Linked DNA regions of Drosophila melanogaster. The protein of the gene in region 1 purifies or fractionates together with the protein of each later gene. This does not show direct contact. Each region holds a gene or a part of one and is shown on either strand. Other genes may lie near its edges.

Region 1 (8,298 bases):
CAGCAGCAGCATCGCGACCGCATCCGTCAGTTTATGATAAAGCACAAGTATTTCCGAGACGCCAAGTTGCCCAATCTCTTGCTTCATGCCGAAAAGGAGCAGATGCGCCTGCTGCACGAGCGAGATCCCGAGGAATGGAGCGTTGAGCGATTGGCCGAAAGTTTTCCCGCCACTCCGGACATTGTGCAGAAAATTCTGCGGGCCAAGTGGCGACCGAGAAGTGTGCAAAGGATACGCTCCCACGATGAAACCGTCATTAAAAACTGGCAGCTTTTAGGGACGGGAAAGGGTGACTTCAGTATCCCACCGTCTCTTCTCCAGCATCTGCAGAAATTCGCCGAGCGAAGGTGGCAGGATCTGCGGGAGCTTAAAATCCAGGATTGGCCCACAAAATCACAACTACCGACTCCGCAAGGCAACGAATTCCGCAAACTGCTGGGCAGCAGTAGTAAAACAACAGAGGAGATGCCTACACCACAAATCCCATCCGGCTATGAAGCTCCACCCTCTGCTGCCGAAGATGAAACCTATTTGTTGGACAAAATCCGTAATAAAAAGAAGATGCGGCTGCAGGAGCTTAAGGAATTGCAGCTCGTTGAGTCTGCGCCCGCAGTTCCAGAGGAAATGAAGCGGCCCATCGAGAATCCCAGTGGCACCGGATTCCTGCCCAGTTTCGTGCCCAAGTTTGCGAGCAGCGAGATTGTGATCAGTGCCGCGGATCAGCGCAAGTATGAAATAACCCAGGTGAAAACACGCATTGTTATTCCCCGGAAACTGCATCGCCAAGGAGCCACTTACCGGGTGGAGGATGCCTATTACGATGACGATGGAGAGCTGCTCTACCGAGTGCCTGGAATGACCAGAGCCAGTGGTGATAAATAGCAAATGCCACTTTTAGGTAATATTTATTCGAAAAGAGCATTGTTTAAATTGTAAATTTCGAAAATTGTTAATCACAAGCTTTGTCATCATTGTTTTGTATAAAAATATATAAAACATTTGATACACAGATTCTTAGTTACTTCATGGTCAGCGGTTGAAGGCGGTGGCGATCAAATCACTGCCCGCCATTAGAGAGTCGGATGCCACGGTTATTTGGGCGCCTGTTAGCTTTGCCACAAAATCGCAGGCGGCGATTTCCGCATAACTGGCACCACCCACAATGAATACAAAGAGATTCCTGAGACGCAAGGGGAACATATCCTGATCTGCAACTCCGTTTAGCTTCACTTGGCTGGCATAGGCCTTGGGCGTGATTTTTCCGCTGTCCAGGTGTAGATGCAGCCCCTCAATCATGCCCAGCTTCGAGGACAACTCCTCAGCACTATTGATTTTCAGCAAAATGGAGCAGAGCTGAGCCACCAATGGTATGTAGGTGCCATTGAACACAAAACTGGGACAGGTCTGCAAGCCACTGGATTGGCTCTTGGAGGAGGAACCTCCATCCTGACCATCTCCACTGGAGGTCAACAGCTTTAGCCGATTAGCATTGGCCTGAAACTCCGTTTGCTGGAACTTGGGCAGAGGTAGATTTGAGAGCAGTTTCGTTGGCGCCTTTTTCTCCACCACAAGTGGTGGCAACAAGCCCGCCTGCGACAACTGCTGGAACACGCCCAATTCCTGGTGTCCAAACAGATTGCAGTAGTTCCGCGCAAATATCTGCAGCTCCTCGGGCGCCACGCCAACGCAATGATGCAAGAGGCACAGCAGTCGCAGTGTATTAAATCTCTGACCATCTGTGGTCAACAGCTCGTCGATCTCGCTTAGCAATCGCTTTCTTGAATCATTGTTTAGTATGTCCTCCTCCAGCGTTTGGAGCTTCCTGAAGTTACCCATCATTTGGATCACAATCTCGCTGGCATTCAGATGCCTAAGGACTTTGCTCTTAAGCTCGGTTAGTTTGGGTAGCTTCCTGGCCACATAGTCATGCATCTCGTCCAGCTGCATGTCATTGAGTTTCTGCAGTTCCAAGCCCAGGGCTTTTACTTGTGCGTGAATCAAACTGCTGACCTGAGCAAATCGTTTGTACCGATTATCGCCGTAGATCTCATCGGATGTGGAGTTAAGACGAATGGAACACGGCTTGCTGGCTGAGTTTACGCCTATCTTGGATTTCTTTCCCTGGAGTAACTCCACACGCTGGCTGCGGATCTTGTTCTTGGAATTGTCTACCAGAATCTCGCCAGAACTATGCTCGAAAACTTCCAAGAGAAGACCTGCATAGATGGCCGGAGTGAGCAAGCTGGCGGGGTAATCCTTATCCCGATCGATGACCAGCCAGCCGCCATAGTCTGGAGGATTTGTGGGCGCCGGAAGTTTGCCAAGAGTCTTCGCCATTTGCATTAGCTGCGACGAGTGGTGGCCAAAGCTCAGAATCAAAGACGGTTGTCCGCAAATCATCTGAAGCAATCGCAGGCTCTGGGCCACCGCAGGCAATGGAGATGTGTTCTTCTGCAGGTAGAGACACTCGTAAAGCTGAATAATAAGAATATCCAGTATAAAAGACTCTTTTCTGAATGTTCAATGTACATCTACTCACATTGGGCAGCTCCAAGCTGAGAACTCCCTGATCAAAATAGATGAAGTCCCAGTTAAAGTGATGAAGTTGCACCAGTCCGTACAAACCAGCCTGTTCCAGCAGGGTTTGAAAATAGGAGTAACAACTGGGCACACAGACTATGTGATACATTTTCATGGAGATGTCGGGCATTTCCTCTGAGGCCACGGGTTGCAATTGCTTGAGAAGTGTCTGAAATGTACCCAAAACACTGCGGATCATGTAGATGTGCACCTGATCGGCGGATCGGGGCAAAGATTGTGCCGCATCATGTTTGTAGATCCGTTGTATGCCCTTCAACCTGTTAAGGGGTATATATAAGACGTAAATATCCATAAAATATGGATTAAACACCTACTTCAGCCAGGAGGCAGTGACAACATGTTCCAGTGGCTTTATCAAGTCGGGCTCCAAAATTAACTCCTTCTTTCCAGGTATGCTACATAGTATGGAACAAAGCTGCAGTCGAATTGCAGGTAGTTAATAGTTTCACTCTTCCGATTCATTATTATACCTTTTCTTGTGCCACCAACTGGAATCCCTGCAGCTTTTTGTCCAGCGTCAAATCCATTCTTCGCCGCACAACACAAACAGCTGATGCAGCAAGGTAGCAAAATGTAAGGTGACGCACGCAAAATAAAATAGGGTTGTCACAAAGCAAATATATGCAGTTTTTATTACGTAAATGTTTATCGCAGTCAAAAAAGCAGTATTACTAGTTATTCTATACAATACATTAAACAAAAGCTATACTCAAATTAATTATTTTGAACTTATGCTACTACTGACGTCACAAAGTGTTGAGTCACCATTAAAAGCATTAATTGTGCACAGTCTTAATTCCTGCCGATCCAAAACTTATTTTCAAAGTTCGAGCTATCCGGTTTGTTAAACAAAAGTACTTAATCTACTGCTCAGTTTGATTGCATACCACTGTGCGAAGGCTGTTCGCTCACGAACTATCGAACCGGTTCGCCATGCGTTCCCATCTTTAGACGGGTATTTAAGCGCGATTCGCTGCAAAAGTGGCAGTTTCGTTCCAAATTCCGAAGCGAGAGTTTGTCGTGGGAAGTTGTTGCGCGCGCCCTGTTCGCATTTATGTGTTTTTATCGTGATTCCGTCAACCGAAATCATATGTTTTTAGCCAGGAGAGAGACGATTGCCAAAACAGCAGCAAAACGGGCGGAGTTCTGCGGTGGAAAATCGAAAATTAGCAAGCGCACGGAACACACTGTGATTGGAGCGAATTAAATGTGAATCAAAATATGGTTAGCCATTCGAAAAGCGTGTAATAAAATCGTGAAGAAAAACCAGAAAACAAATTTGTTATCGCTCTCTGTCTCTTTCTCTCTCCCATTCTCGCTGCGATTTGCTCTCCGTGTGTTTATGTCTCAGCTGTCCAAGTGTGTGTGCGGGTGTGTGTGACGTATGTGCGTGCAAGTGTTTGTGATTTTATGTTGTTGTCTTGCCTGCTTTCGCGTGAAATTCAACAACAACAACAACAGCAGCGGCAGCAACAACAAGCAAAGCAACAGCCAACAACAAATTTAAATTGAGATTTTCCATATTATCAAAAGTTACAGGCGCCTATTTTGCAGTTATCAGGTGAGCTTGCACTTACATTGTTTATAAATAATTTGGGTTTGGCGCATGTGGGTGAAACTGTGCAAAAATATGTGAAATATTTAATCTAATGACAAAAATAGCCGTGCGGTCTGGTTTGTTGTTGTTATTTTGGGCAATTGCAGCTTGTTGCATGTTCTCGTCTTCTCTTTTGTGCCGCAGATTCGTCTCTTTTTTACCGCTCTCTCCTTCTCACTCTGTCCTGCTTGCAGTTGTACATTGTTGCCTTTGTCAATCATTATCTTTGTGTTTTCGCTTCGTTCTGTTTTTGTTTTAGTGGCTAACATTATTTTCTTATAGTCCGTGTGTGTGTCTTCTTCGCGTTTTCTTTGCGGTTCAATTGTTGTTGCGATACCGGTTTGAGCAGCTGTCTCGCTCGGGCACGCTGCACAGGTTGCTGTTTAGATTACTTTTAATTTTTCTATTCTTTGCGCTCCCGTGCCTTCTAATCGCATCTTCTTCTTCGTGCTCATCTTTCTAATGCCCGTTTCTTATTGTTGTTGTTCTTGTTGCCCCTCCCAATTATGCTTTATTTGTTTGTATTTCCCTCTCTCCCATTAAAAATAAGTTTTTGCCATGGGTTTTATAATTTATTGGCCTTTCGATTTATTTAAAAGTTTAATTTTTGCCCAGACTGTTCAACTTTTGCTAATTGCCTACAAGTTTTAAAAGGTTTTTAAGTAGTTTAGCTTAGAACAGGTTTTGCAACAGTATGTTTTGTTAGGAGAGTCACGTTAGAATGTTTCAACTATATATGATTTTTTTTAATATTTATTGTTTTATAATTGAAAGCATAAATAATGTAAAATTTGCGTTCATATTATTTTTCTTTTTATAATTGTAGGTTTGCTCTCGAAAGTGCGAGAAATTTTAAACATGAATCATCATTTCAGAACTAAACAAATCTTAAGAGATTTGTTTGTATTGCATAAAATACAAACAATTTGATTTTCTTGTGCTGAAATTAGTATTACTGCTTAGTTTCACCATTATATACTAGATATAGAAAAAATCATTAGGATCCGCTTTAGGAATAAATCTAAAAGCAAGTTAATTATCTTTACTTGAAATGAATTTTTATTCCGACTAATGCGACATTTTATTATTACTCATAAGAGTGGTTAATCGTTAGTTGGATTAAAGAAGATGTGGATTCCCGTTAATGGGAAATTCCGCTGAGTTTATCGAGGCCATCGGCGTTTCTCAATTCGATTTCCAGTCCGAGATGCGCTCTTCACTCGCTTAATAAAAACAATAATAAGCTGAAAGCAAAGCAAATCGAAATAATTCATTTGCATTTACATAGGTAAATAAACAACACCATCACCCGAAGGTGATTCCAATCCCAATTCCAATCGCACCCCCATAAATTCTCTTGCCAAAGTTCGGCACTAATTAAAACCTGAAACAAATTACACATCTACGGGAGAAGAAAACGAAACAAGAACTCGTGCAAACAGCAATGATTTTGAAAAAGAAAGCAGAAAGCATTTTTGCAACGTGCGTTGCTATTCGTTACCCCCCACCCCCTCCAAAAAATTTACCCAATCCCCAAAAAGATTCTCGTTTTGGTTCGCTGTGTGGAGGAGGCGTGTGAATTTTCGTCGGTTTGATGTCTGTTTTTGCTCTGCTCATTTCCACGCTCACACATCAAACCCAATTAGTATTGTTCTTCTGTTGGCATATGGCAAATATTTCCATTTGTCTGTTTGTACACATATAAATTGCTTTGTATTAGCTTCGTTTCACTCTCTTTTTCGATCTCTGGTGTTTGGCGTAAGTCTGTTTAAAAATGTAATTATTCCCATACTTGGCGGGTTCTATTTTTGGGCAGCATTTTCGGTACATTTTGACACATGTGTGTGTTGGAAAAATGCGATTGAAGTTTATTCTTACGTTTTTTGAACATTTGCCAATACTGCGTCGCTTTTTAGCTGATTTGTGTGCTAGTTTGGTAACGAATTCATTTTACATGATTAGGTATTTTTAATTTGTATATTTCTTTTACAATATTTTTAGACCCAAAAAGTGAGTACATATATGCATGTACATTTAAAGAAAAGTGAGTGCTTTATTTTAGCACACTCATCAAAAAACCGCAAACAATCGCGGCAATTCGCACTCATGCGTTTCTTTACGTTAGGGTGACTCACTCGACTCACTCGAAGACAAGACAAGTAACAAAGAATTGTTCATTCTACGGCATTCTTCGCTCTTCGGCTTTCATCATTTCTTTGGGACGGACGCACTGAGCCATGTTTGTTTTTCTTGCGCCGAACCAGAATGGCGAAAGTGAACCCAACTCGAGTTGGGAGACACAATGGATATATGTTGGGGATGTAGAATCTGGGATGGATGACTTGCTCTGACGTACAGATAGTGTTTGTGTGTGTGGTTTGCCTGCCTTGAGCAAAGTATTTTGGCGCGTGTCCAAGTAGAAACAAAGAAAAGCAACGAAGGTGCGGCAAATATAGCGAATAAATCAGCAAATCGTTACTTGGCCACTATATTCGTGGAACTGAGCCTAAGAAATATACTTGAGAAGTATCTAAACGCTACAGATGAATTAATACATGAAATACATTCTCTAGCACATTTGTATATTTTGGAAAAACGTATATTTGAATGAGGAAGATGTGTTTGAGAAACAAGATTCAGAACAACTTTAATTTGTGCATAAAATTTCAATTTAAACTGATAGATGGCGATATATTTGATTTTTGCTTTTGCCTATTCGCAATGGCCAAAATCAACTTTGCACTTATTTTTAGAATAATGTAAATACAAACAGTCGATAAAATAAACAACTTTGATTAGAGGTCATTGTAAAATTTTCGACTTTGGCCGCTGGAAAATTGCGAATTTAATTGGAAATTCGGGGAAAAAATTTATGCAAAGCAGCTAGTCGGCCATTAGGTTAACTTGTTTCGACACGGCCAATTCATTTGAAGATCCTACATACCTGCCCACCATTTCACACCAGCGGCTTTCACAAGTCCGGGGTTTTCACATCCTCGTCTTAAGCGCGCTGCCTAGCCGAAAAATGACGGCACTCGAGCGCAGATGAAAAATCTTTTGGTTTGGTTTTTCTCGCTGGTCTGGATTGGCTTGGTCGTGCAATCTCCAGTTTAGTTCCCTCGAATTTTCTCACCTTTCTCAGCAATTTGAGCGCGAGGCAACGTGCCACGCATAGCTGAGAAGGCGGAAAAGCGTTTGACGCAACTCCGTCTCAGCGTTTTCCCACTTTCCCTCGATCTGCCTGCCACACGCCCCCACCGCCGTCCTTTGTTTATTCGGTTCAGTTTGAATTTCCCGCGATGTCGCCGGCCAAAAACAAAAAAGGAAAACAGAAACCAAACAAAAGCGGAACCAACTAGTTAAGTTAACTCTCTTAGAAACTGCCGACATACAAAGAAGACCAGAGATGTGGGAATTTTAAACCTCGCACCGTTCTCCGGACACCAAACTCCGGACAGAACGGACACCATACCACGGACAGCCCAGAAATTCAAGCGTTTTTGGAGCTTTAACAAAATAAGCATTGTTATTAAGCTTATTTATTTAAAAAATAAAATTTCTAAATACTATAACCGAGAATCTCCAGTGTCAACACTATTTGCCAGAGTTCTTTTTTTTTTTTCTAAATTAACGAGGCGATGAAGACAAAAGGCTAGATTTGAGCAATTGAAACGAGCTGAACTTTTTATTTTGCACTTTGACTCAGCGGAAATTTCTTTTGTTTTTCGTTTGGCTAGTTCCTGGAGTAGACACCAAAAAAAGCTACAAAAACACTTTAAATCGACCGGATATTGCAAATTTTACGTTTCTTCTGGTTCAATGGTCAGTCGTTACTTCTTGTGCAATTCTTTGTTGATTCTTTCTCTGATAATATTAGTTACGATTAGGATTGTTTTATGTTCTCCACTTAACAGCTGAAAATAGAAAATATAGAAAGAAAAAAACATTTTTACTCTTTTTATGATCCGAAAATACAAGTGCCTTCATTTGGGTTAAAAACAAATAACTCCAGAATCAAGAAAAACTATCGATGCATTCTGTGCAGTCAACCAAGTTGACATTTGCTAACAAAATACGCTGGAAAATATGAACAAGAAAAA
Region 2 (7,259 bases), on another chromosome or scaffold:
TTTCGAGCCGCAAGGATTTGGACCAAAAGTGATAGGATTTGGCAAATAGTCGGGGCAGCATCACCTTGTGTCGCAGGACCTTATACTAATGGCCAGCAAAGTGGCAGCGGAAAGAAGGAGCCGCAATAGGCGACGCTTAAGCGGCTTATCCTGGCGAAACAAGGGTGCGACTGCGACTGCGACTCAGGCACGGAGTATTAAAAAGGTACAAACATATGTATGTATATATGACTTTTGCTGGCCAAATGTGCATACACTTAAGTCAAAGTCAAACTGCGGTCGTAGCCATCAATGCACATCTGCGTTTGACCAAATCAATGTCGAACAGACCGGCAGTATCGCGGCCTAATTGCGAAATATGTACTTCAGTTTGGGCGTAGCTGTTGTTGATTTACTTCCCGTGTGGCTGACGCAGGATACATGCTCGCCTTTGAGGTCCTGGCCCGAATCTAAGCTCAACTAATTATAACTTTGGTGCAATTCGTTCAAAACCTTTGAGGCCCTTGCGCGTGTATTCGCGTTTTCATCTCGCGCTCGTCGTCGTTTTCGGAGCTACCAAGGCTACCAAGGATCTCCGAGGTGGGCGGTGCGGCTGAAGTGGGCGTGGCGCAACTCGAGCGGCGAGCGCTTTTAGGCGATTTTGCTGGCAAAATCATGTGCAGCCAACGGCTTCGAGAGTCATTAAGCTTATTAAGTGGGCGAGCAGATAACCCAAATGAGTGCATGCCAAATGAAAGCCAACGCAATTTGCACTCATATCGCCCACGAATTCCTTGCACTGTTAAAAAAAGAAGGAACTGAGCTCAGCTGGTTGGCGGATATATGCAGTCCCAGTTTCAAATGCCTAAATGCCCAGATAAGTGTATCAACAATTTGGACACCGATCGAAATGAAAGGAGTAGGTAAATTCTGATGCTATACACAATTATTTTTTAAAACGTGCATCGTTAACTGACTCGAAAAGTTTCTGGTTAATCCACTTCTTACTATAACCATTTGTAAGTTTGTATCAAAATCAAGATTTTTACAAAGAAAATAAACACTTCAACGTACCAAGTTTTGAAATATTCAAACCACATCAGTGTGTTGAATAACCCCAAAACAAAAAAAAAAAAAATATTTAGATAATAGAAACTGGATCTCAATGGAGTCTGCAATATCCGAATAGATAGCAGATGCTAAGTATGTATGTTTTATATATATATAAATTGCATCTTCAATACTCCGTAGTTCTTAAGCAAGTTTTGTCCAGTGTACTTATTCAAATAGCTCATGCTCATGGAAAAGTTTCCCAAGAGGCCGGAAAAGGGTCAGGAGGTGGAAGAGAAGAAATACGAGAAAGGGCGTGGGGAACCGGAAACGGAGAAGATAACAAACAAATTGCCAGTGCAATTGCAAGCTTGAGATTATCGCCTGCCTGCGGTGGCCGCATTACTCGCTCTTAACTTTACTTAACTCCACTTTGGCTTACTTAACTTTGCTTCAAGTGCAGGCCAATAGGAGGCATTGCAATGGCCTTCTTATCGCTGCGGTTGATGCAAAAGTAAGTCCCATTGCATCCCCAGAAACTTTTAATGGCTGCGAGAGGAGCGCCGCCTACGCTGACCACCATTAATCTGAAAACCTAATACCCGCCTGCGGCTAAACTTCAATTTACCCGCTTACTCGATTGCCATCTTTCGATAACGATTGGCGAGCACAGGCCTAAAAGCTAGCTGCTATGCCACGCAGGACACTCATGGTTTCCTTTTTGACATTAAATTCACTTAATAATATTACCTTTTCGCATTCTAATGCCGTTCCCCAATTATAAACGAATTTATATTCACACAACACATACATATATGTATATTTATATATTAAAAAGTCACATATACATATGCACATACTCCACGTCGACCATCGACTATCGGATACCCATTACTAAGCTAAAGGTGTATGAGCTATGTATGTATACCTTTTTGCGTGCCTCTTTTGCGAAACTCTTTCAATTACCGACCTTAACTGGTAAAATAAAACGGCTCTTCTGAACTATTTTGTGATTTATTTTTATAGTGATTTATTTAATGGTTCGTTAATGTCCTGTATGGTTGAGAGACTCTGAGGAAGAGACATTGGTCATTAGTGTCTGAAAAGATATGTATGATTGAATATGTGTAGAATGAAGGTAATTCCTCGTGAGACTTGTTTACCAGCCCTGAGGACGCTCTAGCTTTAGTCGCTTAGCCAACGGATTCCCATCTGGATTTTGCTCTGAAACCGAAGTTAAATACCCAGTTGGGTCCTCCACGGGAAACGTTCGCTTCTTTACGTCCAGCATGCTAATGAAACTATGAACTTTATGTCAGGACTCTCACCACGAATTACTTCAACTCACAGCAAATTGCTGCTGAACAACAGCTCATTTAGGCGCTCGTGCTCTTCGCGCGAAGGACTTCTGTTAGGCTGCTCCATGTCCAAGATCGAGTCCATTCCTGCCAGCATTGCGATCACGCTAGCTTGCAAGTTGCCATCATTGACAGATGCCGTCTGGGCAGACTTATTCACTGTATTGGATGGCAAACCCTTAGTCATCGTAGACTGATTGCCCATCCACTGATTGAATCCACGCGTAAACTGAGGCTGCAATTCTTCCGGAATATTCCGGAGGAAATAGGAATGGGATTCGTTGTTCGGATTTGGCATCTTGAAGTTCCGTTGTGACATGGAAATGGTTTCTCCGGTACGGGTTCTAGATGTGAACTGAATTCAATAGGGACCAAAGCAAACCAAATGTCAAAAATAGGCTACCTTTTGATTGATTGAAAATGAAAGGGTTGCATTTAATAATTATGCAAAAATGATTTATATTTAATTATATTATATATATTATAAAATTATTATGATATATTTAAATTATATTTATCCCACTCGTCTGTAGCTGATTAACAGTTATCTGAATATGATTCCAAAATTAAGATTAAGTATATATGTACATATATACTGTTATTATATATTAACAGTATATATATAACAGTATATATATACATATATATGGGCCTAACAGAAACCATTATTCCTTTCGGTACCCTTTGCCATCTTTTGAGAATTTACATTGTGTTGTTCTATATGACAGTGACGTCACCTTATAGCTTTAGGCTGTACTTGAATTATTACTTTTGAAACAGCAATAATTCAATGAGTGATCAAATATGAATTCGCACTTCAATCAGCCTTCAAATCCAATGATGTTTCTTATCAAGAATTCAGGCGTATTATATTTCGGAATTCTACATTCTACATACTTTTTAGCCAGTGTAGAATTGTACATACGCATTGGTATTTTCGTCGAAATTCAGTGGTGTGGTATTCAGCTACAGATGTATTTGAAATCTCAGATTCGAGCGCGGTCACACTGAGCACGTGGAGCAGACAAAGCAGCTGGATTGAGAAATTATTGGAAACAACGCAGTAAAAGCACAACAGATTGCACCATGGAGGCAGAGAACATCAGAGCAGACGCATTCGAGCCGGCGAAGAGAGCGACGAAGCGCGGAGCCAGCGGAGGCGGGCAGCAGGACGTGGAGATGCAGGTGGACGAGGCGACCGGCATTGAGGGCCAGGTGCTGGGATCTTCGCGAGCATCGGCGCCGCCCAAGGCAAAGCGGGCCAGAAGCGAGCTGCGCAAGGTATCCGTGCCGCCACACAGGTACTCCTCGCTCAAGGAGCACTGGATGAAGATCTTTACGCCCGTGGTGGAGCACATGAAGCTGCAGATCCGCTTCAACATGAAGGCGCGCCAGGTGGAGCTGCGTGTGGGCCCCGAGACGCCGGACATAGCCAACCTGCAGCGCGGCGCCGACTTCGTGCGCGCCTTTCTCTGCGGCTTCGAGGTGGACGACGCCCTGGCCCTGCTGCGTCTGGAGGACCTGTTCGTCGAGTCGTTCGAAATCAAGGACGTGAAGACGCTGCGCGGCGACCACCAGTCTCGCGCCATCGGCCGCCTCGCCGGCAAGGGCGGCCGCACCAAATTCACCATCGAGAACGTGACCAAGACCCGCATCGTGCTAGCCGATAGCAAGATCCACATCCTGGGCAGCTACCAGAACATTCAGCTTGCGCGCCGGGCCGTCTGCAACCTAATCCTCGGCTCGCCGCCCAGCAAGGTGTATGGCAACCTGCGGGCAGTCGCCTCGCGCCTCTCGGAGCGCATGTGATTGGGAGAGCGGACTGGAGTGGACTGGACTGGAGTGGAGTTCGACTTGAGAGGGAGTAGTTGCGGTTTTTTTTTTAGCATTAGCAATAAATAATAAATATAATAACATGTATTCAAACATTTACAATATACACAAACACACACAGCGAATGACGGGAATGAGGTCGGCCCACTGGAGGCGCGTGGGCAACTAGAGCTTGGTCAGGATGAGCAGCAGCAGCATGAAGAATGTGACCGCCGCCAGGACGAGAATGACGCACATCTTGCGGTTCTTGCGCTGATACATTTCCGCCTTGTGCAGCTGGCGCAATCCCTCCGAGACGCGCGTCTGCGTCTGCTCCACGTTGTAGTCGATGCGGTCGAGCACAGTGCCCTGCTCCTGGACCATGTGGCCCAGGTCCTTGAAGATGTCGTTCAGGTCGTAGATGGACTTGACTATCTTGGTCACCTCCTGCTCGCGGTGCTGCGCCACCCGCGTGTTCTCCTCCTCGAAGAGCAGCAGCTGCTGTTGGGTCATCCGGCTGGCCGGCGGCCTTTGGAAGTGATCGTCGATGGCCTGCTCGTCGTCCTCGAACAGATAGCCGTTGCCGGACTTGCCCTCCGCCGGCGGCTGCAGAAAGTTGTCGAAGGAGTCGACGAAGTTCTCGGCGCTCTGCTCGCCCAGCTCCACGTTTGTGAAGACGTCTCCAGCGCCAGCGCCGCCGCCGTCGTCGAAGTACTTCTGCGAGCGCTCCTCGCGGGAGTTCAGCTGAAGCAGGTAGGCATTCTGGCTGGCACGGAACTTCACCGTCAGCTCCTGCAGCTGGAGCAGGGCGCAGTGTACCGCGTTGACCGTCAGGCACTGCTCCATCTTGCTGCCCACGCCGATGCTGCTGCGCACGCACTGGATGTGCCGGTGCGTGGAGGTGATCAGCTTGGAGACGATTTGGCTGAGCACCTCGATGTCGCACTCGTCGTCCCGCTGATCATCGAAGGCGGGTCGCAGGAGGTGGCGTGCGTGCAGGGAGCCCAGTTCATCCAGCTTAGGCTTGATCCTGCAAACGAGTGATGGGAGTGAAGTTGAACCCTGCGCATGGACTACTGTTTGTTTACCCACTTAGACATGGTGTACTGCGCCTCCTCGAACTTGTCCAGCCAGGCGGGCGGCGTGCCGTAGTCGTCCTGCAGCTCCAGTCCCTCCTCCGCCTCGCGCACCGAGTGCTTTAGAAGGCGCTCCGCATCGCTGCCCCTCTGGAAGACGGAGAAACGCAAAACATATGTTAGTTGATGATAACAGTGAAGACCCCAGACGGAGACGCACTCACCCGATCGTCGTAGTGATTCCGGTTCTTGGACGCATTGTTGCGCATGATGACGAACACCTCCGTCAGGTTGCGCGACGTCATCCTGGCCGTCTGCTCCCGATTTCTTGGGGATTGGAAGGATTGATCCAAGTCCGCTGAAAACTCAATCAGATTTTTTCCAGTTTCGTTTTGACACAGCAGCGCAGTGTGCCCGCTGACTTGCTCGCCCAGAATACCGATAGTCGCCACGACGAACTGGTCACCCTGGCCTGAACGCACCGTTACATGTCCGAGAATTATACTTATTTTAAATATTATTTTCTTATTATCTGTAGAATCTGTACTTTATATGTATACTCCTAAACATCCTATTTGCGAAAGTGATTTTTTCAATATACGGATTGGATAGCTCCAATAGAAATATTCGGAAATTACAGAATATAGTATTGCTTTGTTGAGTTTCAACAATTTATAAAGTTAATTCTGTACACACCGTCACGTAAATTGAAATGCAATACTTTTAGCAATAAAACGACCGTAATAGTACAATAAAAGTATTCAATAATTTGTTATGTGCGTTCTCTTTTTTTGCGTTACGAAAGAGTAATATAACCGAATGATATTGTAAATGATTTTAGAATCAAGTACATTTTAGGCTAATGTTTAAAAATTACAAATTTACAGAATTTTAGGGAACTCATTATGAGTTTGGCTTAACGTTTTCTAATAGCCAGCTTCCACTGTACTGGGTTTTAATCCGTGACACAAGCCTGTGACTTAAGAACACTGAAGAGCTATCGAAAGGCAAAACATATCGATGGCTCGACCCCCTGATATCGATTACTTGATAGCTCAGTCAGTTTGCACCTCCCCCTGATATCGATTGCCATCAAACAATTTTATTTCATTTTAAAATAATTCCTTGATTTCAAATTGCATTGTACTGGTAACTGGCACTTCCAATTGTGACCCGAAAGCAGCAAGCGCGGAAAACGGAGAGTTCAAGTGCGGGTGGAAAAGTCAGGATGTCATAACTAACTCCGAGCGGAACAACGAAATGAGCAGTGCGGACAAGGATAACAACGAATTATCCTGATCCTGGACGCCCGATTGCAGTTGTGTGTGTGCTTGCGCGCGTGTGCGTGTGCTTAGTGTGTGTGCCAGTGACGACATTGACCCGCCTTCGCCCCCGCCCCCACCCGCGCTCCAACCCACCACCACACCCCCCTTGAAGGGGTAACTGTGCCATGCCATTGTCGTTGTTGTGGTTGTGGTCGAGCTCGTTTCTAGCCTGACTTCGGCGGTGGAGCACTAGGGAAGGCAACACGAAAACACAAACATGTTCAACCGCCAGGCGAGCGGAGGAGCCGGATCCAGTGGCCAGGGTGCTGGGTCCAGCCAGACCGCTTCTGCAGCACCAGTCTCCGCTGGAGTTGGAGTAGGAGGGGGTGGAGGTGCCAGTGGAGCAGCGGCAGGAGCAGGCTCCGCAGCAGGATCTGGATCGGGATCAGGTTCCGGATCAGCAGCACCGCCCAGCCATTCGCCCGATCTCTACCTGCGCCCGCTGCCCTTTCTGGACGCCAAGTGGCTGCGCGCCGATCTCATCGCCTCCCTGCGCAACGCCGCCGACGGCGCCGTACTGTGGAACCATCTGATCCAGGACTGCGAGCTGGTCTCGTCGCCTACCGCGCCGCTCCTAAATGCCCGCGGACAACTATCCTACCTGGGCGACGATGGCAAGCACTACTGCGGCGCTCAGCAGCTCAAGTGCTCCTGCTGCC
Region 3 (8,407 bases), on another chromosome or scaffold:
ACGGAAAAACTGACATGGTGGAAAACCACGGCGAGTGAAAAAGAGAGGCAGCACATCTGTGGGAAGCTTTTTCTGCGAATTTCATTAATAAAACTGTCGAAAGTGTTGGGCATCAGGTGCTGTACCCCCCGCTGCCCCCTTAACAGGTGAAAACGGAACAATCAAACGAAACTTTTGATTTGGTATTTTTGTTTTTAATAAAAATTCAAAAGATTTACAGCCCTCCACGGCAAGTATTTCCACTTAAGATGCTGTAAGAGCAGAAGAATCGAGCCACTACGTCTTCCATTCATAAGAACGCGTAATTAAGAATTTTTCCAAATAAAATGGGAGGCGCGGTAGCGTTGGTAGAGTTGGAAATGGGATAATAATAAGTTTATTGATTTGGGAAATGCCATAAACCGGATGTTTATCCACCACGCACAACAACCTCATCATTGCTACAATCATCAGAGTTATATGTACGTAGAAGGGAACTGATTGCAAAGCAACGTGCGAAATGTGCAGGGATTATCGGGGTTTAGGAGCCGGAAGATGCGCGATTGCCATTTCACAGTTTTCCCCTCTAAACTGCAATTTTCCCAGGACCAGAAATTTCAAAATCCTGGCTAGCAAGTTGGTAAGTCAATCCAGCGCTTACCAAGTTCCGGAATTTCCACTGGCCATTCTACGTTCCACTGCCATCCAAAGTCAAAACATGCGGCTTGTGTTCGGTCGCACATTATTATGCTGGGAAAATCACCAAAGACGGAGGCTGGATTTATTTGGACAAAATGACTTTGCAAATGAGATTCGGTGGCTATGTCCGTCGACCACCGAAGATGTCAATATTGTCATGGTTCCAGGTTTAGCGACTACGGCCTATGCAAACAGCAGCCTTTTGGCCAAGACAGCCGGACGACTGACTACCTGCTGTGTTTCCGTGGGCCATGTAGGTGTGCATAGTTTCTCTTAATTTCCAACACCTCCGCCACTCGAGCTCACAACGTGACCCATGGCCCCGGGTCGGGATTTGGTCCCGGTTTGTCCACTGCCCAACCTGCCAAGTGCCGCATGTAGTCATAATCGATGTGATTAGGCCGTGATGCCCGTGCAACAATCGGGGCCTAACCCTTGGCCCCACGGACGAGTAATCAATAATTCCCAGTCGACTTGGTCGGGCAGCTCGGTGACGTATTTGGACAACCACTGACAGCCAAGCGGACCAAAAGAAACAACCAGAAAATGGGTAAGAATTCCCTCAGGGGCATTTTCAGATACTCTGCGAACTCAGAAATATTTTGAAAATTAAACTCAATAATAGTTACGATTTTAGGTAAAAGAATTAAATTTACCAGCAAATATATCTAAGAATCAGATTAGGCCAATTATTAACATGAAAATATTACAGCGATTTAATAAATAACATTATAAATTATATATCATTACCACAATTATAATAGTAATTACTCACCTTTTAGTTTGAAAATAACACACTTTTCCCCATTTGAAATACCTAATCCACTCTCCTGAATGATTCAATATACCCCGCGAACCACAGGGCAGAGATCCGAAACGACTTGGGCCAGAAAAAACTGGATGACTTGGCGGGAAATGATTGTTGGCGAGCCCCGGGGCGAGTTCGAGAAGGAAATGAGCTGCACTTAAATGCATGCGAGAAAACCACTCGATGCCAACAAGTGGATAAGAAGCCACCACACAAATGATGCCCAAACGAACTATCAATGTCAGTGAATTGGCAAAAAATTTAAACTCAATTTGTATGCAGGCCTGCGGAGCTGGAATTTCAAATGTGGAGGAAGATGGGGTCCGGCGACGAGGAAACCCTTTAGCCCCGGCTGACACACCTCAACGATGCAGCAAGCTGAAGTGGGTCCACCGCATCCAGGTCTGTCGCGGCATTAATGTGCCATCGGAGAGTGTGCGCTCGCTGAACACATAGTCGGATTGGTACCAATGTTTTGGGATCGAGATCGGGTTGGGAGTCGGGAGATGGGAGCTCCTAAGCCGCTAAAGCATGCGTAACAATGGCCAACACGAAATCTTAATGATCGCTAAGCCAAGGAGGAGTCGATGACCATGCACTTCTCCGAATGCCCAGAAGAGCTGGCGAGTTCCATTCATTGATTCATTCAGGTCGGGCCCTAAATGAAGTGCTCCAAGTGTTTTCAACGCACGCAGGATCGATTTTCATGTTTATTATTTCATTTTTCGTACATGTGTGTATGCCATCGCATATATGGCTTCCTCTGCCTCTTAACTCTAAATACAATACAATACAATACAAAGCGCTGGCGAATGAGTTTCGGAACATAATTAGAATTTGAAGCCAACAGTTGTTAATCAATACTAATAATCAATATACAGGGTGCGTAATAATAAAAGTAGTACACATAAAATATAAAATTGTTTTTAAAGCAAATATAACAGATGCACGTGCCGGTGAATACTCCTCAAAACACTATATCTTCGTCTACGAGTCGCAGTTTTCGATTTCAGCCAGTATTGGAAGTTGGATTAAGGATTAAAGCCATAATCTCGCCTAAGGTCCAAAGGATTGGGTGGGGAATTACGGGGTTTAGGGGCCTGCATGCGGCAACTCTTGTCTTTTCACAACAATTTACTAGTTTGGTTTGAATCATTCGGAGATGCCGGAAGGCTCTAATTCTTGAACTGAAAAACGAGTATCAAGATGATGGCCAGCAGCACGGCGCTCAGGATGCCCACCAAAATAAGCTTCTTCTTGCGCACTTTGTTCTAATAAACAACATATTTAAATTATTTAAAATAATAACCTTGTAGGGGCGGCACTTACCCTGTAAGAGCTCGCCTTGCGCAGATTTTCCGTGCCCTGCGAGACAAAAATGCTAGTCTGTTCCACCTGCGACTCGATGGAGTCCACCGTCAGTCCCTGCTCGTAGACCAGGGCGCCAAGCTTCTTGTATATCTCGTTCACGCCCACGATGTTGTTCTCCAACTCCCGTATGACCTGCTCCTGTTCCTCGAGGGCCTGCAGGTCCGCCTGCTCCTCCATCTGAGTCTGCATCTGTTGCTGGTTTGATTTGCGATTGAAGAAGTTGTCCTCGAAGAAGGAGTTGTTGTCCTGCTGGCTGGCGCTACTGTTGGAGCTGCCGGTACGCGATGAGCCGGGTGGACGGGCGATGTTGTAGCTATCTCCGCGCGCCTGCCGCAACGCCGTCTTCTCTATGTCCGCCGTCTTGCGCTGAACAGACTAAAAATACCAATGATAAACAATCAGCATGACTCACAAAACCATTTGCTTATCTGGGAGAACAAAAACAAACCTGGAAGGCGGTCAGTGCCGCCGTGAACTCGTCCACGAGCCTATCCCGCTGGATCTTCAGGTGGCGCTCCTTGCACTTGTCCACCTCGTTGATTTGATTGTTTGTGTCGGTCACCAGCTGGTTGGTGTAGGTCATTATTTGGTGGCTGTGGAGTAAGGGATTGTTATTTTTATCGTGCGTTATACATTGATTTGATTTGTGAATCACACTGTGCTGATACGTTTAAACTTTCAAAACCAATGACTGACTACAATGTTATTTTGCTGTTGGTTTATGTGGTCGGTTGATGTGCGCAAAATGTATTAAAAGGCTGTATTGGCTTAAGAAGATTTTTAGACATTGTGAGTAAACACCCAATAGAGATCTTCACTATGTCTTTAGAATTTATGATTTGTCTGAGAGATATTCGAATAATCGATGTATATCTGCAATGGGTTCTATCTATGGGGACAGTTTAAATTCCAAACGAAGAGATCGTAATGATAATCATCTTACAGCTGCTTCTTGAGCTCCGGAGAATCTTGGGGCGTGTTCAGTTGATTGACCATGCGCTGCATCGTGGACACTGCGAAAGAGACAGAAACCTAGATTAGTCATAGGCGAAAGTTGGCAAGTGCTTCGACGCCACTCACCATTCTGCTGCACCTTCTGGATGCTGGTGGCTATAATCTGGGCCAGCCTTTGGAAATCTATTTCGCTTAGGCCACCTCCTCCCCCGCCGCTTAGACCATTCTCCATATGCTGTAAGTCCATGCTTTCGTAGGCAGACACTTTGATGACCTTCGAGTTATCGCTGGAGACAAGTTGTTCCTGGAGAGACAGACAATCGAATTAGCCCCGTGGCCCACTTATATCACATTCGCTTTTATGCGTCTCAGCCAGGTTCTTGATTCTATATTCTATATTCGTGCTTGTTTGTTAGTTTGTCTGTTTGTCGGAATGTTTGCAATTCGCATTCCCTTTGTTTGCTGCACAGCCACACACCTTTTGTGGTTGCCCTAGCTGTCGTTGGTGACCTTCGCCGGTGACCTTGATCTTAGAGCATTTCCTTCGCACTTTTTACGCGTTTCGCAATCTGAAATTTGTTGATTTAAGTAGGCGGAATGTTCGCAAAACTGAAATTTTAGCTAGGTTTTTACAACAATTGGAATGGAACTGCCAACTTGTGAGAAAGTCACTTTCGACTAATACCCAAAAGTGCCTTAGCGCGTGATGCGTTTAGCATCACTTCCTTGCTACGCTTTACAGCACTTCAATTATATCGATATCTGGCGCGGCATTCAAATAGCAGATATATAGAACTGCATTTTAATTATATTCTTCCCCCTATATTTTGTCTCGAAAATGTATATAAGTCCTGAGATTTATTATTGAAAATCGATCCATGTCTAAAATGAACTGCTTAATGTTATTATTCAAAATTATAAATTATTATTTTGCACTTTTTCTCCAAAATTAAAATGTTAGATTAGGAAAATGTCGTATAGAAATGAAAATGACCAACAATGATGCCTTATAAAACAAATAAGTCGAATTTTAGACAGTTTTCCTTCCGTTCAATAAATATGTTCATACCAAATTTAATAATAATGTAGGTATACAAAACTATTTTGCTTACCCAGAATGTTATTCAAAACTTAAAATTTAACATTGTACAACTCAGGGTATTTGAAACCTGTTTAGCAGAAATAAAATTGAAGATTATTACTTTTCTTAAAAAAGTCAAATAACTGGTAGACAAAATAAGTGCAACTCGTTTATAAAAAAAATCAAAAGCAACTTAATTCAAATTAACGTTACAAATTAGTGTATTGGAGATATTTATCAGTATCCGGTGTTTGGCACGGTTAATGAACTTTAGATCGCAGAATGAATTAGGCTGCTTCGATGCATCCACTAATTACATCATCTCCTACTGCGATGCAAGATATTATGCAAATGACCAATGCAACGAACCTGATTTTTGGAGAACATCATTTTAATCTAAGCTGTGCTGGCTGCATAATTTGAATAAGGGCATAAATGCCTTTCTTTCATCCCGAAATTCCGGTTGGTAGGTGTATTTAGAAGCTTTATAATACAGGGACGGGTTTTAATTTATTGTCTCAGTGTTTTTTTATAATTCGACTCGCATTTTCGGTCCCTGTCTTACCGGGCTCGTATAAATAAGCCTCCAACTGCGAAATGCGGCTTAGTCGATCCGTAGACTTCGTAACGCCCCGACCAGTCGAAAGTTAGTTCATCAAAATTCCGTGCGATGCGTGCTCTCCGGTTCTTTGCGGCTCTTGCCCTCCAACTCACGGCCTGTAGCAGCCAGTACAAATATGGGCCAGGTGCGTAACGTCAAGACCGAGATCAGAAACGGGCCCAAAAGACCCGAAATGAATAAATGAAAAACGAGTGAGAGTGTGCCAGGTCGAAAGCAAACTCAAAACATATGCAGAATTGATTAATCAAGTGCTAAACGGAGTATAAAAGGCGTCAGCAAAATACTCGTAAATTGAATTAAATATTTGACACCCGCTAACAGAGCTGTCAAACATCACTTTTTCCGAAGGAGAATGTTTTAACGAAAGTGGATATAAGACTAATACTTTAAAATTTAAATTTGAATTAATTTTAATGCTTAATTTCCATAGGTTTCTTTCGGTGTTTTATTTATGTGCTATCTTCTGAAAGCAATTTCCCTTTTTAATGATTAATTCGAAAGTGGAGTGGAAAACAATGGCAATTGTGTCTGTGCTTTTGTTTTGTAAAACGAAACATGTGCTTGGAATTGATAAATTCTTGAGGTTGTACTTGAAATGTGTATGCATATCGGCTAGTAACAAAAAATGGTTTCAATTAATCAGAATAATATGCATTCTTAATTTATAATGAAATAAGCTAAAATCGCATTACTTTCAGAGCAATCCTGGGACCTCGACTCTATTTCCGAGTTGAAGAGCAAGGAGTTCTGGTTTCACGACGCCCAGCGCACGCTCTACAATAAGCTATCCACTCCACCAAACCAATATCGTGCCAAGAATGTCATATTTTTCCTGGGCGACGGTATGTCCGTTCCCACGGTAACCGCAGGCAGGATCTTCGATGGACAGCTGCGTGGAGTGGTGGGCGAACGGAATCGTCTGGAGTTCGAGAAATTCAACTATGTCGGTCTGTCCAAGGTACTTAGAAGTCAACGAAGTCATTTGTTATCTCAATAAACTGCTAATAAATTTATTAAGTCCGTTAATAACTAGACAGTAATTACGCCCTTCTGTCATTGTAGACTTATTGCGTCAATAAGCAAGTGGCTGACTCCGCCTGCACAGCATCGGCCTATCTGTCGGGGATCAAGGCGAACTATCTGACCATCGGAGTGACAGCCGATGTGGAGTTGAACGACTGCAGGGGATCGCGCTTGCCGCAGAATAGGCTCTCCTCGATTGCCGCCTGGGCGCTTAAAGGTAGCAAATCCGCTGGATTGGTGACCACCACTCGGGTTACCCACGCCAGTCCGGCCGGAGTTTATGCGCACACTTCGAATCGCGATTTCGAGAGCGACTACGACGTGACCAAATTGGGTCAAAATCCAGGAAACTGTCCGGATATCGCCCAGCAATTGATAGACGGAGATGTGGGCAAGCGACTGCGTGTGGTCATGGGCGGTGGAACCATTAAATTCTTGCCCAATACCACGAACGATGTGTTCGGAAACAAGGGCCAGCGGTTGGATAATAGGAACCTCATTGAGGAATGGCAACAAACAAAGCCGGGTAATGCTAGGGTGGTGTTTAGTCGTACGGATCTCCTGAACAATGATGCGCAGAACACTGACTTCCTGCTGGGGCTCTTCAATGCCTCTCACTTGGCGTACCACATGGACGACAGCATAGACACACCCACGCTACCCGAGATGACGGCAGCGGCCATAAATGTGCTTTCCCGAGATCCAAACGGGTATTTCCTTTTCGTGGAAGGCGGTCGAATCGATCACGCCCATCATGAGACCAAGGCCAAGAAGGCCTTGGATGAAACCGTTCAGTTTTCGGACGCAGTGAGAAAGGCACGACAACTCACCAATCCCTGGGACACCTTAATTGTGGTGAGTGCGGATCACGGACACACGGTCACGATCAGCGGCTATCCGGATGTTAACAACAGCATAGTAGGACTCAATTCCGAGCTAAGTAATGTGGACCAGCTGCCCTACACGTCCATCTCATATGCCAACGGCCCGGCCTACGAGAGATTCTACAAATCGACGGACGGAGTGGTGGAGCGCGTTGATCTCCGTAACCTGGACTTTTCCAAACCGGATGCCATCTATCCACATGGAGTGCCCATGACCGAGGAGACACACGGCGGTGGCGATGTGGCCGTCTATGCTCATGGTGAGTTCATGTTTTTTTGGTTTTTAAGTTTTTTTTTTTAGATGGGTTTTGAATGATATATATAATCTTAAATCCAAGCATTTAATCAAAACTCTTGAAATGTATAAAGTTGTGGAATATCTTCTTCAAGGTCCATGGTCTCATCTTTTCACTGGAGTTTACGAACAAAGCACCTTGCCTCATTTGATGGGCTTCGCCTCTTGCTTAGGACCTGGAATTACATATTGCGATCTGCAGCCAAAAGCAAGATACTCTCCCTAGAAAATCCCCTAGGAATAAATATGTTTAGAAATTGAATAAAATGATCTATTCTTAAAACAAATTGCGGAGATTCTAGAATCGCCATATTTAATCTTAACTTTTTAGCTTATATAGTTCCTGAATAAAGAGAATAAGCAAAGAAGCAACAGCACTTCCCAAAATTATTAATTAAAAAACAGACAAATTACATTACAAAATCATCTCCCTGATGTCAATTGATAGACCCCCAAATAATGAAAACTTAACCGATATAGAGCTGCGGTTAAAATAATAGCACTACTGCAGGTGGAAAGTTGATTTCCTAAAAAAAAATTATTAAATGTTTTTTTTTTAAGTCAGATTGCATGAATAATAAGTACCATATGTGGTCTCTCTGAGCAATAAATTTTTACTCTCTCAACGTAACGGTTCTTTTTGTTTTTGGGCACTTGCTGCAAAAGTGCGCGAAATTAGGCGGTAACAAAC

Evidence for each region.
Region 2: the proteins of Vps33B (region 1) and Syx16 purify together in Drosophila melanogaster (affinity purification with western blotting, with the first as the bait; one study listed by BioGRID). This does not show direct contact.
Region 3: the proteins of Vps33B (region 1) and Syx7 purify together in Drosophila melanogaster (affinity purification with western blotting, with the first as the bait; one study listed by BioGRID). This does not show direct contact.

Annotation. Positions count from the first base shown.
Region 1 is NT_033777.3:25,468,346-25,476,643, reverse strand, and holds Vps33B (vacuolar protein sorting 33B), read right to left. Parts: upstream 3,155-8,298; 5' UTR 3,129-3,154; coding exon 3,072-3,128; intron 3,017-3,071; coding exon 2,916-3,016; intron 2,859-2,915; coding exon 2,540-2,858; intron 2,476-2,539; coding exon 1,030-2,475; 3' UTR 888-1,029; downstream 1-887. Other genes in the region: CG4553 (uncharacterized protein), read left to right, coding at 1-882.
Region 2 is NC_004354.4:20,388,063-20,395,321, forward strand, and holds Syx16 (syntaxin 16), read right to left. Parts: upstream 5,690-7,259; 5' UTR 5,581-5,689; coding exon 5,500-5,580; intron 5,426-5,499; coding exon 5,292-5,425; intron 5,230-5,291; coding exon 4,386-5,229; 3' UTR 4,272-4,385; downstream 1-4,271. Other genes in the region: jb (jean-baptiste), read right to left, coding at 2,128-2,128, 2,193-2,321, 2,378-2,706; l(1)G0004 (lethal (1) G0004), read left to right, coding at 3,474-4,196; HERC2 (HECT and RLD domain containing protein 2), read left to right, coding at 6,818-7,259.
Region 3 is NT_037436.4:21,441,906-21,450,312, reverse strand, and holds Syx7 (syntaxin 7), read right to left. Parts: upstream 4,480-8,407; 5' UTR 4,290-4,479; intron 4,153-4,289; 5' UTR 4,059-4,152; coding exon 3,938-4,058; intron 3,871-3,937; coding exon 3,801-3,870; intron 3,451-3,800; coding exon 3,306-3,450; intron 3,233-3,305; coding exon 2,816-3,232; intron 2,758-2,815; coding exon 2,662-2,757; 3' UTR 2,185-2,661; downstream 1-2,184. Other genes in the region: Alp1 (alkaline phosphatase 1), read left to right, coding at 5,563-5,638, 6,213-6,472, 6,577-7,681, 7,791-7,942.